3 linked regions of the Arabidopsis thaliana genome follow. The protein of the gene in region 1 interacts with the protein of each later gene in a pairwise test. Each region holds a gene or a part of one and is shown in the gene's direction. Other genes may lie near its edges. The genes, in order: RCF3, AT5G11090 and EDA14.

Evidence for each region.
Region 2: the proteins of RCF3 (region 1) and AT5G11090 interact in a two-hybrid assay, tested with the Arabidopsis thaliana proteins (one large-scale study listed by BioGRID).
Region 3: the proteins of RCF3 (region 1) and EDA14 interact in a two-hybrid assay, tested with the Arabidopsis thaliana proteins (one large-scale study listed by BioGRID).

What each region holds. Positions count from the first base shown.
Region 1 is NC_003076.8:21,512,783-21,516,537, forward strand, and holds the start of RCF3 (RNA-binding KH domain-containing protein), read left to right. Parts: upstream 1-2,113; 5' UTR 2,114-2,572; coding exon 2,573-3,262; intron 3,263-3,503; coding exon 3,504-3,755. Other genes in the region: AT5G53050 (alpha/beta-Hydrolases superfamily protein), read right to left, coding at 46-128, 257-440, 530-650. UniProt on the Arabidopsis thaliana protein: Acts as a negative regulator of osmotic stress-induced gene expression. Involved in the regulation of thermotolerance responses under heat stress. Functions as an upstream regulator of heat stress transcription factor (HSF) genes.
Region 2 is NC_003076.8:3,522,655-3,526,409, forward strand, and holds AT5G11090 (serine-rich protein-like protein), read left to right. Parts: upstream 1-2,022; 5' UTR 2,023-2,141; coding exon 2,142-2,795; 3' UTR 2,796-3,192; downstream 3,193-3,755.
Region 3 is NC_003074.8:22,312,739-22,316,493, reverse strand, and holds the start of EDA14 (embryo sac development arrest 14), read left to right. Parts: upstream 1-2,066; 5' UTR 2,067-2,266; intron 2,267-2,472; 5' UTR 2,473-2,491; coding exon 2,492-2,547; intron 2,548-2,632; coding exon 2,633-2,723; intron 2,724-2,909; coding exon 2,910-3,001; intron 3,002-3,122; coding exon 3,123-3,216; intron 3,217-3,309; coding exon 3,310-3,389; intron 3,390-3,579; coding exon 3,580-3,660; intron 3,661-3,743; coding exon 3,744-3,755. Other genes in the region: AT3G60370 (FKBP-like peptidyl-prolyl cis-trans isomerase family protein), read left to right, coding at 1-9, 117-192, 276-460, 574-683, 813-921, 1,036-1,112, 1,372-1,494.

The sequences.
Region 1 (3,755 bases):
CTCAGAAAAACAATCAATAGTCACTTGAGTGATCAAACATATTACCCATAGAATGACCAATTATGTGAGCTTTCTTCCAACCCAAATGATCCAACAAACTAATTGAATCATTTGCCATTATCGTTGTTCTGTACCAAAACAAAACCCAAATTGAGTGAAGAAGCTAACAAAACCAATTTCACAGGAAATTGTTAAAACCGAGATTAAGAACACAAAGCAGAGAATTTTAAGTTCTTCAGTAATGAAATTGGCTCACGTGTACTCAGATTTGTGGGTAGGCACAGAGCTTCGACCCATACCACGATTATCGAAAGCGCAAACCTCGATGCCGGAATCATCGGAAACAATTCCTCCGTCGTCGTCATCATCGTCGTTGGGTTTATCCGTTCCCGTCAATCCCATGATTTGAGGACCCCATGACTCATGGGTTCCGGCTAAACCTGAACAAAATTAGAAAAACCCAATTGAAATCAAGCTCGGAATTGCTAAGGAAACTAATCAAATGGGAAAGATGGAGATTACAACAGACCTATGATGAGAAGAGCTTTGATAGGACCATGACCGTACGTTCTGTAGAAGATTTTGATTGCGGCATTGTTAAGCGTCGTCTCTGGGCCGACATCTTCTTTCACGACCTCGCAAAACGGCATCGCTTTTTTTGTTCTCAAACTCTGATATCTGGGTGGGATCAGATTTTGAATAACCGGAGAGGAGAAGAGGAGAAGAAAGGAAAGGACTTTTCTATCGGAAGAGAGAGAGATTGGGTCTGTGGTGTGGTTCGGTTCGGTTTTTTGGGTGGAGGTTAGGACTGCCACGTAGGATTGGTCGGCTGGATTTTATTGGCGGGTAATATCTAACAAAGGTCAACGGTCAAATTTTTTACACGAGAAAACTATGTTGTATAGAAATATAGCACGTGAAAAACGCTAGAAGTAGAAGTAGTACTACGTCAATGGAATTCATATGCATCATATATAAGAGAAGCGATAATGGGTCTGAACACAAGTGGAGCATTAACCTAAAACAATAGCAACTTAGACCATTTGTTGAAGTAGTCACTACACTATTTTAATCTCCGGTTCAATTTGTTGAACTTTATAATGTTTTGCTATTTTGATCCGCGTTGCTTTATATTATATTGGTGTGGTTTCAGGAGAAGACAGATCGAGACACAAAACAAGGCAAGATCGTTACTGACATTTTATGCTGGACACTAGATAATTGTTCACCAGGACATGTGATAATAAAACCTCCATGACTTCGTGGCTGCTTTTTCATTATATATAGTTTAGGTCACCATCTTGTCGTAGCACAACCTGAAAACGCAATACCTTCTCCTGAAACGGAAAATATTTGTTGGGAAGACCTATCATTTGGAAAGTACTTATGCCCGTCAAGGCTCACAATTTAGACGAAACGATCCACCAACAACTTAAGCTTTGAGTCTTTGACCATAAGTGCGAGACGATTTTCTTGTATTGTTAATTTGTTATTGCTTGTTTTTGTGAACTGATCCTTAGTTTTTTTTTTCATCAAAAGTGATCATTTAGTTAAAGACTTAAAGTGCAATGAGAGTTTGGTTTCTTTATTTTTAAACTCTTGAAAAATTAATTTTGTCAATGAAGCAATACAAATTAAATTGCTGAAAAGGGATAGTAAATCGTTTTTTGTCCTTACGGATTGGTGATGAAAATGGTATTCAACGGATGCAATACTTAGATGCACCAAATGATTTTTACCATATGCTAAACTTTAACACTAAACCAATTATACTTTACCTGGTAAATATTAAAAGGATTTTTTGTTTTCCAAAAACAGTTTTAGTATATGTACTTAATTACATAATACCGCGGTTAATAAATAGTTAAAAATTAAATTAGAAAAAAACACATACGTGTCTACAGTTTTAGTCTCGTACATAACACGAAAAATCATCTAATTGGTTACGTATTAATCATATCATTTTTACCTATTAGAAAAAAATTATTTATACATTTTTAGTATCTACTAATACGTTACGTGAGCACAAAAATTCATCTTCATCAGTGCTAATAACTATGCGAAAATCTGATGACGATTCATTTGTCTAACAATTTATTTAGCTTAATACGAGTTTTTAAAGATGAAGCATACCCAAATTTCCCAAGAGACCAAAACGACAACGTTTGGGAGTAGCTAATATCGTAGTTAGCGCACGCCACTAACATCACCCATTGCACGGTCTCTCTCTACTCTCAAACTTCAAAAAGCTTTGGCTTTTTAGATTCACAGGAAAGAACCCTCAAAACACACAAAAAGCTGGTGATTTTTGCATTGCACCGATTCGCCTCCATCGATTTTGGACATTCTTGAATTCTCCCTCCAAGTATTCCTGTGAAATTGACCGGAAAGTTCCTTCCTTTTTCAATTTCCGGTAAAAAGGAAAGTAATTGGGTACTGTAGACTTCCTTCTAGGGCTTGTGAACTTTCTAATCCTTCAGAAAACCCTCGAATTCGAAAAATTTGCTGCGAGATTGATAAATGACTAGTTAAAGATTTGAACTTTGATTTCTGGGTTTGCGATTTTATTCAAATGGAGAGATCTAGATCCAAGAGAAACTACCACTATGACCAAGACTATGACGGAGATTCCATGCCTAGGTCTAAACCTCGCTACAACAATAATTACCACTTTGGTGGTGGCGGCGGAGGAAATAACAGATACCGTGGCGGCGGCGGTGGTGGAGGTGGAAATGGCCGGCCATCGAAGTCTCATCCTGAAACGATGGCAACAACGACTTATCGAATCCTCTGTCACGACGCTAAAGCAGGAGGTGTTATTGGTAAATCCGGGACAATTATCAAATCTATAAGGCAACACACCGGCGCGTGGATTAACGTGCACGAGCTAGTTCCTGGAGATGCAGAGCGTATCATTGAGATTTCTGATAATCGTAGGCGTGACCCTGATGGGAGAATGCCGTCTTTCTCTCCTGCTCAAGAGGCTTTGTTTAGTGTTCATGACAGGATTTTGGAGAGTGAAGCTCAGTTTGGTTATGGTGGACCTCCGCCGGAAGAGGAGGAGGATTACGGTGGAGTTAGACCTGGTGGAGGGAGAGTTGTGACTAGATTAGTGGTTTCTAGGATGCATGTTGGTTGTTTGTTGGGTAAAGGTGGGAAGATTATTGAGCAGATGAGGATTGAAACTAAGACTCATATTCGGATTCTTCCAAGAGAAAGTAACTTACCTCGTTGTGTTTCACTCTCTGAAGAGATTGTTCAGGTCTGAAAAATTGCTATTTTGAGAACATATTTGAAATGGTGAATCTTGTTGAGATTTTGATATGAAATGTAGTCAGTTTATTGAAATGCTAGATAATTTAAATGTGTGATTGTGAGGTTGAGGTTGTTGACAAGAGTTGAATCACTCTTATGTAGTTAGCTTGGTCATTATTTGTTATGTTTAAGCTTTCTTTGGTGTTTTCTACCTATGGGAAATGCATTTATAATGTTGGTTCTTTCAGATTGTAGGTGAACTAAATGCAGTGAAAAACGCTTTAGCCATTGTATCATCTCGTCTAAGGGAGAGTCAGCATCGTGATCGGAGTAATTTCCAAGGGCGTTCACATTCACCAGAACGGTCGTTTGCAGCTGCGGGGGATGATTACATGCCACAGCTAAGAAGACAATCATCCGATAGGTTTCCTCGTGGTAATTTTAGAAATAACAACTTCAGTTCTCGCCAGTCCAACTATGCAGAAGAAGCTCCAGCAGTT
Region 2 (3,755 bases), about 18 Mb from region 1:
TCAGGTATAATACTATTTTAGTGGTATTAACGTTTGATAGGTGCTACTAAGAATTAATTACACACAAAATATGGATTCTGTCAAGACCAATTTAGACAAAATGTGAAACGAGTAGATCAGACCTTATTAATAATCTCAATCATAATTCTCTCTTAAATATTTAATCAAATTAGACAAAATATAGGTCGTTTCTGACCGTCAAACGTTTAATATCTGTAGAAACCGTGTTTAAAGGTTTAGTTGGTAAGAACTCTCTGAAATGTATCCATCAAATTCTTAAAATTGATATTCTGCACCAAAACTATTACTGGCAATAATCTGTCTAAGCATATTTTGTATTTTGCGGTTAAGGACGCATTGGAATAAGACATATATTATTACTATGGTTGAGTTCATCACCAAATTCCTTCTGCAGAGAAGCTGTTATACCTTTAAGATAGCATATAAATGTTCTAATACATCAGAATAGTGTTCGAGTCAGTAGTTCCATCAATTTGTAGGGACTCTTTAGGTCTAATATGAAACACAGTTGCATGGATCTCCTCCACCGTAACAACTTTATACCAAATGCTAGATTCGTTGTTGTTGTTACATTGCTTTTAAGCCCATTCAAGAGTTTGGCTAACTCACCAGTAGGTTTAAGGTGAAAAGTTGTTGAAATATGTTAAGTGTTACGTGTTGAGTAACTCTTGACTAATTATGATCATAATACGAAATTCTTAAAGTGTTACGAATTAACGATTGGCATTGCCTTCCAAAAAACTAGCTATATCAAGTCCTCTCTCTTTGGCCCTTTTTTATTTGGTAGTGAGCTGTTATTTCTTCTTCTAGCATTAAACCATCTTGAAAGGAAACAAACCAGCAAACGTAGGTACTTTTAATGATGGTGTCAGTTAGATCATAGATGTAACTTTATATGTTACCTTCATGTTATAAGATTTCTATATTGATGTTGTTGGGTATTAGCAACTAGTATTGATGAACCCAAAAAAAAAAAAAACTAATTTTGATATTTATTATAAAAAAATAATAATTAGTAATTAATATTTGATGTTAAGAGACTATATACGTAGACCAAAGGCATGTTTCAGACAAAAAAAAAACAAGAACAATAGAGTGCTAAATTTGATCAATGTAAGCTTTTAATATCTACTACAAAATCTAAAATTACTAAAAGTCATAAATCTTCAAATTGCTATTAAATTTATTTTATAAACCAAATTTAATTATTTAAAATATGTTTATAAAACTATTCAAAGTCTACCAAATAAATATGACACAAATCTTCAAATTGCTATTAAAATTATTTTATAAACCCAATATAAAGTCATATTTATTTGGTAGACTTTTGAATGGTTTGACATATGTGATTTTAGCTCACTAATTTATTAGTATTGAACTCTCTTACATTTATTAAAACTATTTTATGTTGGCAAAAATGTTTTACTCTAGAATACACTATACATAAGACTGATTTATTCGAAGCCTTCTTTAGATAGCCTAAATTTACACAAATGTTGTTAGATGCTAAACTTTTGTATAATCTTATTAATCTGAATCAATACCGTTACAGAACCATTGGGTTGTGACGATAAAACAAACAAAATAAAACCATTGGAAATGTAAATCCGGCTCTTGGCAAAACAACGGGCAATGGCAATTTACGTAATTATCTAAACTTTCTCTGGGTACTCTCCTACTTAAGAGCTGACATCTTTCTTAGTCATGACACGTGGCAGCTTTTTTAACTGCCCCCAAAAGCATTCCCTCTGATTTGTCATCTCAGCCGTTGGATCCGAACCCGATTCTTTTCGAAACGGCAAAACCGCCTCAAATTGAAAAACAAATTAGTAATTTATTTTGCTAACCATAGTTAAGTTTCATTAACCATGGTTAAATTTGACTAACCCGACATAGAAATACCTAAATTTCGAAAATGGTCAAAGTCTTTGAACGTATTTACATTTATTGCCATTGAACAAGCTTTTGCTATAAATTCGGTTCCTGAGACTCGCTAGGTTTGCCGAACCAACCTCCCTTAGGCACTTTCTACAGAGCAGCTAATCAAAAAAAAAAAAAAAAAACCTTGTTCTTCTCTTCTTCTTCCTCTCTCACAAATTTGACTTTCATAGAAGAAAAAAATGGTGACTACATCGTCACGAACCAAGTCAAACGGACCGGTGCTTCGTTCACAATCACCGTCAGGTCGATTTTGCGGTGGTTACTCAAGAGCCGTTCCGTCATCTTCTTCATCAGCTTTCGCTTCATCAACGAGTTCTAGCTTTTCATCTCCGTCGTCAGCTTTTTTCAGCAATCACCGTCATCACGAGAGCAATCACAGTCACCACCGATCTGCGTCACCGACTCGTGTGAATCTCTACACAGCGCAACCGATGTCTCAGTCGTTTCGTTACTCTCTCGATAGCAGATCTATATCTCCGACTAACAAATCGATCTCCGTTTCGAAGAATCAGCCACCGAGCCATAATCACAAGATCTCAAGGAGATGTATGTGTTCTCCGACGACGCATCCAGGATCTTTCAGATGCAGTCTACATAAGAACGTAGCGAATCCACATGGTCAAGGTACAGCTTCGTATACAACGAATGGATTGAATATGCGTCGATCTGCGATGACTAATTCGCTGGTGAGAATTGGTGGTGTTGAAGGAGAGTGGGTGAGAAGAGCTTTGACTACTTTGATTCGACCTTCTTCGCATCATCTGAAAAGACGAGCTGCTTATCAGCCACGTCCTAGTCGACTCTCAATCATGGCGAAAGCTGATGAGAATTGATTTTGATCTGGATTTTGGTTAATTCAGGTTTGTTTTGTTTGTTGTTCTTCTCTCTTTAAACGAAAACCACCACAGGATTTAGTAGATCCGGCGAAGAAGTCTTGTTATGAAGCTGAGGTCTGCGAAGAAGAATCATCCTCGAGAAATCGAGATTTTGTAAAAGGAAGAAACACACACCTATCATAATTTTTTTGTTGTTGGGTGAAAGAAGATGCTAGAATGCATTGTACATACGTTCTCTTTTTTACTGTTTTTGTTGCTCTCTCTTGCGTCTTTGTCGAACCCCAAAAAAAAAAAAATGTTCGGAGTCTCACCAAAAATTAGAGACCTAAAATCGAAAATCAAAGAACTGAATCTAATTTCTGTATTGAACAAAGTGAGATTTCTCATTCCTCACAATCAATTGTGTATGTGTTTGTCAGATTAGCGTTTTTTTTTTCGTGTCCCGTCAAGTCAACGTTCGTGTACTCCGTTGACCGGCGTTGTTTGCCATTATCCGTCGTCGTTTCTACCGTGAAGCGTTGCGTTAGTTTTCCAGGTATGCGTTATTCGTCGTGTCAGGTATGTTCCATTCGTTTTTTTTTTTTTTCCGTTTTATGTTACTTACATTTTTTTGTAGTTATATTTTCGTGGACATTTTGAATTTTGTTTTTGTTTTGCAGGTTGCGTTTGGTGATGGAGTTTGAACTACTTGACTAACAGGGACATGAAAATTCAGATGGAATTGAGAGAAAAACAAAATAAATTAGTAGAAAAATACATTAAAAACAAAAACAAAAGAGGTGGAAAAGGTCTTCACTTTCTGGACATATATAAAAAAACAACGAAAAATCTATGGAGGGAAAAACATGACTGAAGACAAAATTTACATAGGAGGGAAATGGAAAAAAAGTGTTTTGGTAAAAGAGATAGCTGACTGACCCAATTAGAAAAATGACTGAACATATGGAATATATTAGG
Region 3 (3,755 bases), on another chromosome or scaffold:
CATTTCTCTGTGAGTTCTTCCCTCTATCTCTCAAAACTCTTATTGATCTTACGATTCAGTAAGCTGGTTCCATAAGACTAGTTAAGTGACCAAAACTGTTCCATAAAATCTTATAGGTGAAACAAAACTGTCATTATCTCGGAGCAATCGCTCGGTATGTTGTTCATTGAGTGAAGAACCAAAAGACCAATGGTAAAATTTGCAATCTTGAGAGATAATTTTTTTTCCTTTTTTTGGTTTGATTCTGGAGATAAAGCTTGGTCTTTTAATTGCAGCTTGAGTCGGAGAAGTCTTGTTTATGTTTTAGTTGCTTCGCCGTGTTTGTTGTTACCAGCGTTGTCTTCATCTGCGAAGACTAAATCAAAGAGTCCTTATGATGAGAGACGGTTACTAGAACAGAACAAGAGGATACAGAGAGAGAACAATGCTCCTGACGAGTTTCCTAACTTTGTTAGAGAAGGTTTAAGCTTTTATTCACTGTTTCTTTGAGTATTATTCATTCTTGAGTGGAAGAAGAATATGAGAACTTATTGTCCTTTTGTTTGTGTTTATGTTTTTGCTGATATAGTGCAGGTTTTGAGGTTAAGGTATTAGCTTCTGATAATTACATCAAGGCTGATTCTGGCCTCATATATCGGGATTTCAATGTTGGTCAAGGTGATTTCCCAAAAGATGGTCAGCAGGTACTACTTCCTCTATGTTAGATTAGTTAAACTTAGGATCTGAAGTTAGATCATTTATGGAATTGGTATGCTCTTTACTTGGATATATAGAATTGAAGATATCATTGAGTTTTATGGTTATTTTGACAGGTGACTTTTCACTACATTGGCTACAATGAGTCTGGAAGGCGAATAGATAGTACTTACATACAAGGTTCTCCTGCTAGAATCCGCATGGGAACCAATGCACTTGTTCCAGGCAAGTAGAAGACATTAACTTGGCTCTTTAGTAGTAGGATGTTAATGAAGAATCTTCTTTGACAGGAAACACATATTGAAGATTTTTAATACTATATGGATAATGATGATGCAGGATTTGAAATGGGAATTCGTGACATGAAGCCCGGTGGGCGAAGAAGGATTATAATCCCTCCAGAATTGGGACCTCCGGTTAGTGTTCTTACTTGTTCCTTACAAGTATACACTTGTCTGAACTGTAAACCTGACTAGTGGTAAACTTTTGCTGAGCCATTCCGTTGAATATACCATCCCTCTATCAACAATGTTTCAAATGGAATTACTAGCTTGAGCATGCTCGTTTAGGGACATATCTAAACCAATGTAGATTAGACTTGTACTGTGTAAAAACTGTCTTCACTTTGGTTCGATCATATTTTTGACAAAACAAAGTTCATTGGGCTCTAACCAGGTGGGACCTTCGACCTTCTTCAGCTCGAAGCAATTTGAAGTTTTCGACGTGGAGTTGCTCAGTATCCAGAATTGTGAGAGGAGGACTATAATAGGTTTCTACTCAGATGTCACATGCAGTTAACTTCCAAATGATGGTCATCACTAAGCTTCAATGAACCTGCATTCTTCAATCTTCAATACTCTAAATCTGCACGGCAGATGAGAACTACAAAGAAACAAAAAGAACAATTATTCTTTGCTTAGGCATTTATCTTGTGGGTTTCATGTAGAGATGCACAATTACATAGAGAGACAGATAAAGATCATGTAAAGTCTCGACCTTTTTCATAATCGTAGTTTACTTTTGTTGCTTTGTTGATCACGTTTTAAGCGTTTGGAGCTTTTTGATATCTTCTGTCTCTCTGTATCTGTGCGTTTGTCAAGTTAAAGCAATGCATTGTTTCGTTAGTTTTATAATTTCTACCCCAAATTTTGGCACTCTTTATGAAACACCCCAAACAAATAATAAATTGTACAAAGATACATTGAAATTTGGAACGGTAGATGTGCAATGCTCATCACATTTGGAAAGTTAATTACGAAATTTTCATCTAAAGACGTTAAGACATTTTATGTGTGGAAACTATAATTTGCAAGTAAAGCAACTAAAACGATAAAAAGGGTAAATGAGTAATTGCGACGTATCCACTAAACCCTTAGTCTCAGCTAGAAGGTTCGGTTTGAGTTTTCTTTATCCCCAAAAAACCCTAAACTCTTCTTCTCGCCGACTTCTCTACTCCTTTCCAGAAACCAAGTTTCAGGTCATCGGTGAAATTTGTTGTGTTCCCGGCGACTTCTACTTTTCACCTTTCTTCTCGGCGTCGTCTAATTTCTAGGGTTCCCCTGTATTTCACGTGAGAATCTTTGGCTTCTTTTTTTCTTTCGTTTCGTCTGTTCGAATGCATAGTTAGGTTTAGACTTGAGAATGTTGCATTGTTGGATTAGATTCATACTTCAGATTAGGGTTTCAGTTTCAATTCGTTAAGTTGATGAGCTCGAGTAGCTTAAGATCATCTTTAAGCTCTCTTAATTCTAAACAGTTTTGTGACTGAAATTGCAGCGTCAAGAGCAAATCCAACATGTCGTCGCTGCGTAATGCTATTCCACGGCCTGCTCATAAGGAGCGATCTCAACCGTAAGCTATTATTGCTCTCAGGTGTCCTTTTTGTTCTTTTCTTCGTTTCTCTTCTTAAAGTTTGGATTTTTAAACGTATCATCAGGGAAGCGAGGAAGAGGTTTGGCATCCTCGAGAAGCATAAGGATTATATTATCCGAGCTAATGCTTATCACAAAAAGCAGGAAACTTTAAAGGTAACTATTACACTCTCTGTTTTCAATTCCATCTCTCCTATGATTATACTGTCGAGATTATGTTAATAAAGTCTTTCAAGTAGACATTTGTTAGTTTACGGGATTGATTGATGATATCTGTGAGATAGCTAAGAAACTAAATCGTTGGGAGTTCAGTTTCTCTTACACCGTTTTACTTTACTGCAGATACTTAGGCAGAAGGCTGCATTCAAGAATCCAGATGAATTCAACTTTAAGATGATTAATAGTAAAACAGTTGATGGACGTCATAGACCAAAGTAAGCATATCGAAACTCTTCGTTTTCTTCTTTTTGCTTTTCACTATTATCTCTTTTGCTATTCTCATGGTTTCTCGTTTTCTTCTTGGTTTGTAAATTTTGACAAAGTTATTGTTTTCAGAGATGAGGTAAATAAATACTCTGCGGAAGAGCTTATGATTATGAAGACTCAAGATATTGGATATGTGTTCCAAAAATGGCAGAGTGAGAAAAACGTAAGTTATCTTTCCTCATACACACCCCAAGAGCTTTCTGCTTACGATCATATTTATCCAGTTTTTCTCTTTGTTCCTTCTTATCTTTTGTAGAAAATTGACAAGCTGACTGCATCGCTGCAATGTACTGGGGATCAGTCAAGCCGTAGACATGTTTACTATGCAGAAGACAGGTTAATCCCAACTTTTAGTCCTTTCTTTACTTGGTGTAGCTTTCGTGATTTTCTCATTCATTTTGAATGTGTCATATGGACACTGCAAAATTTGATCCTCCTTACCTTAACATTTAAAAGACATTACCGGTACCACATTGTTTGTGTTTTCTTATAATCTTCTTTTTTAACTCTGTTGTTCCTTTATCAGAGAGGAGGCTAGAGAACTGGAGGTACAAGGTAGAAGCAAAAGTGATATCTCTACAGTAGAGATTCCGAAAGATATTAAAAAGTATGTATCTGAAATGAATTAGATGTTTTCAAAGGTATCAAACGGACAATCAATAGTCATTGTATTCTATTTTCTTAAAACAGGAAAATGGATAG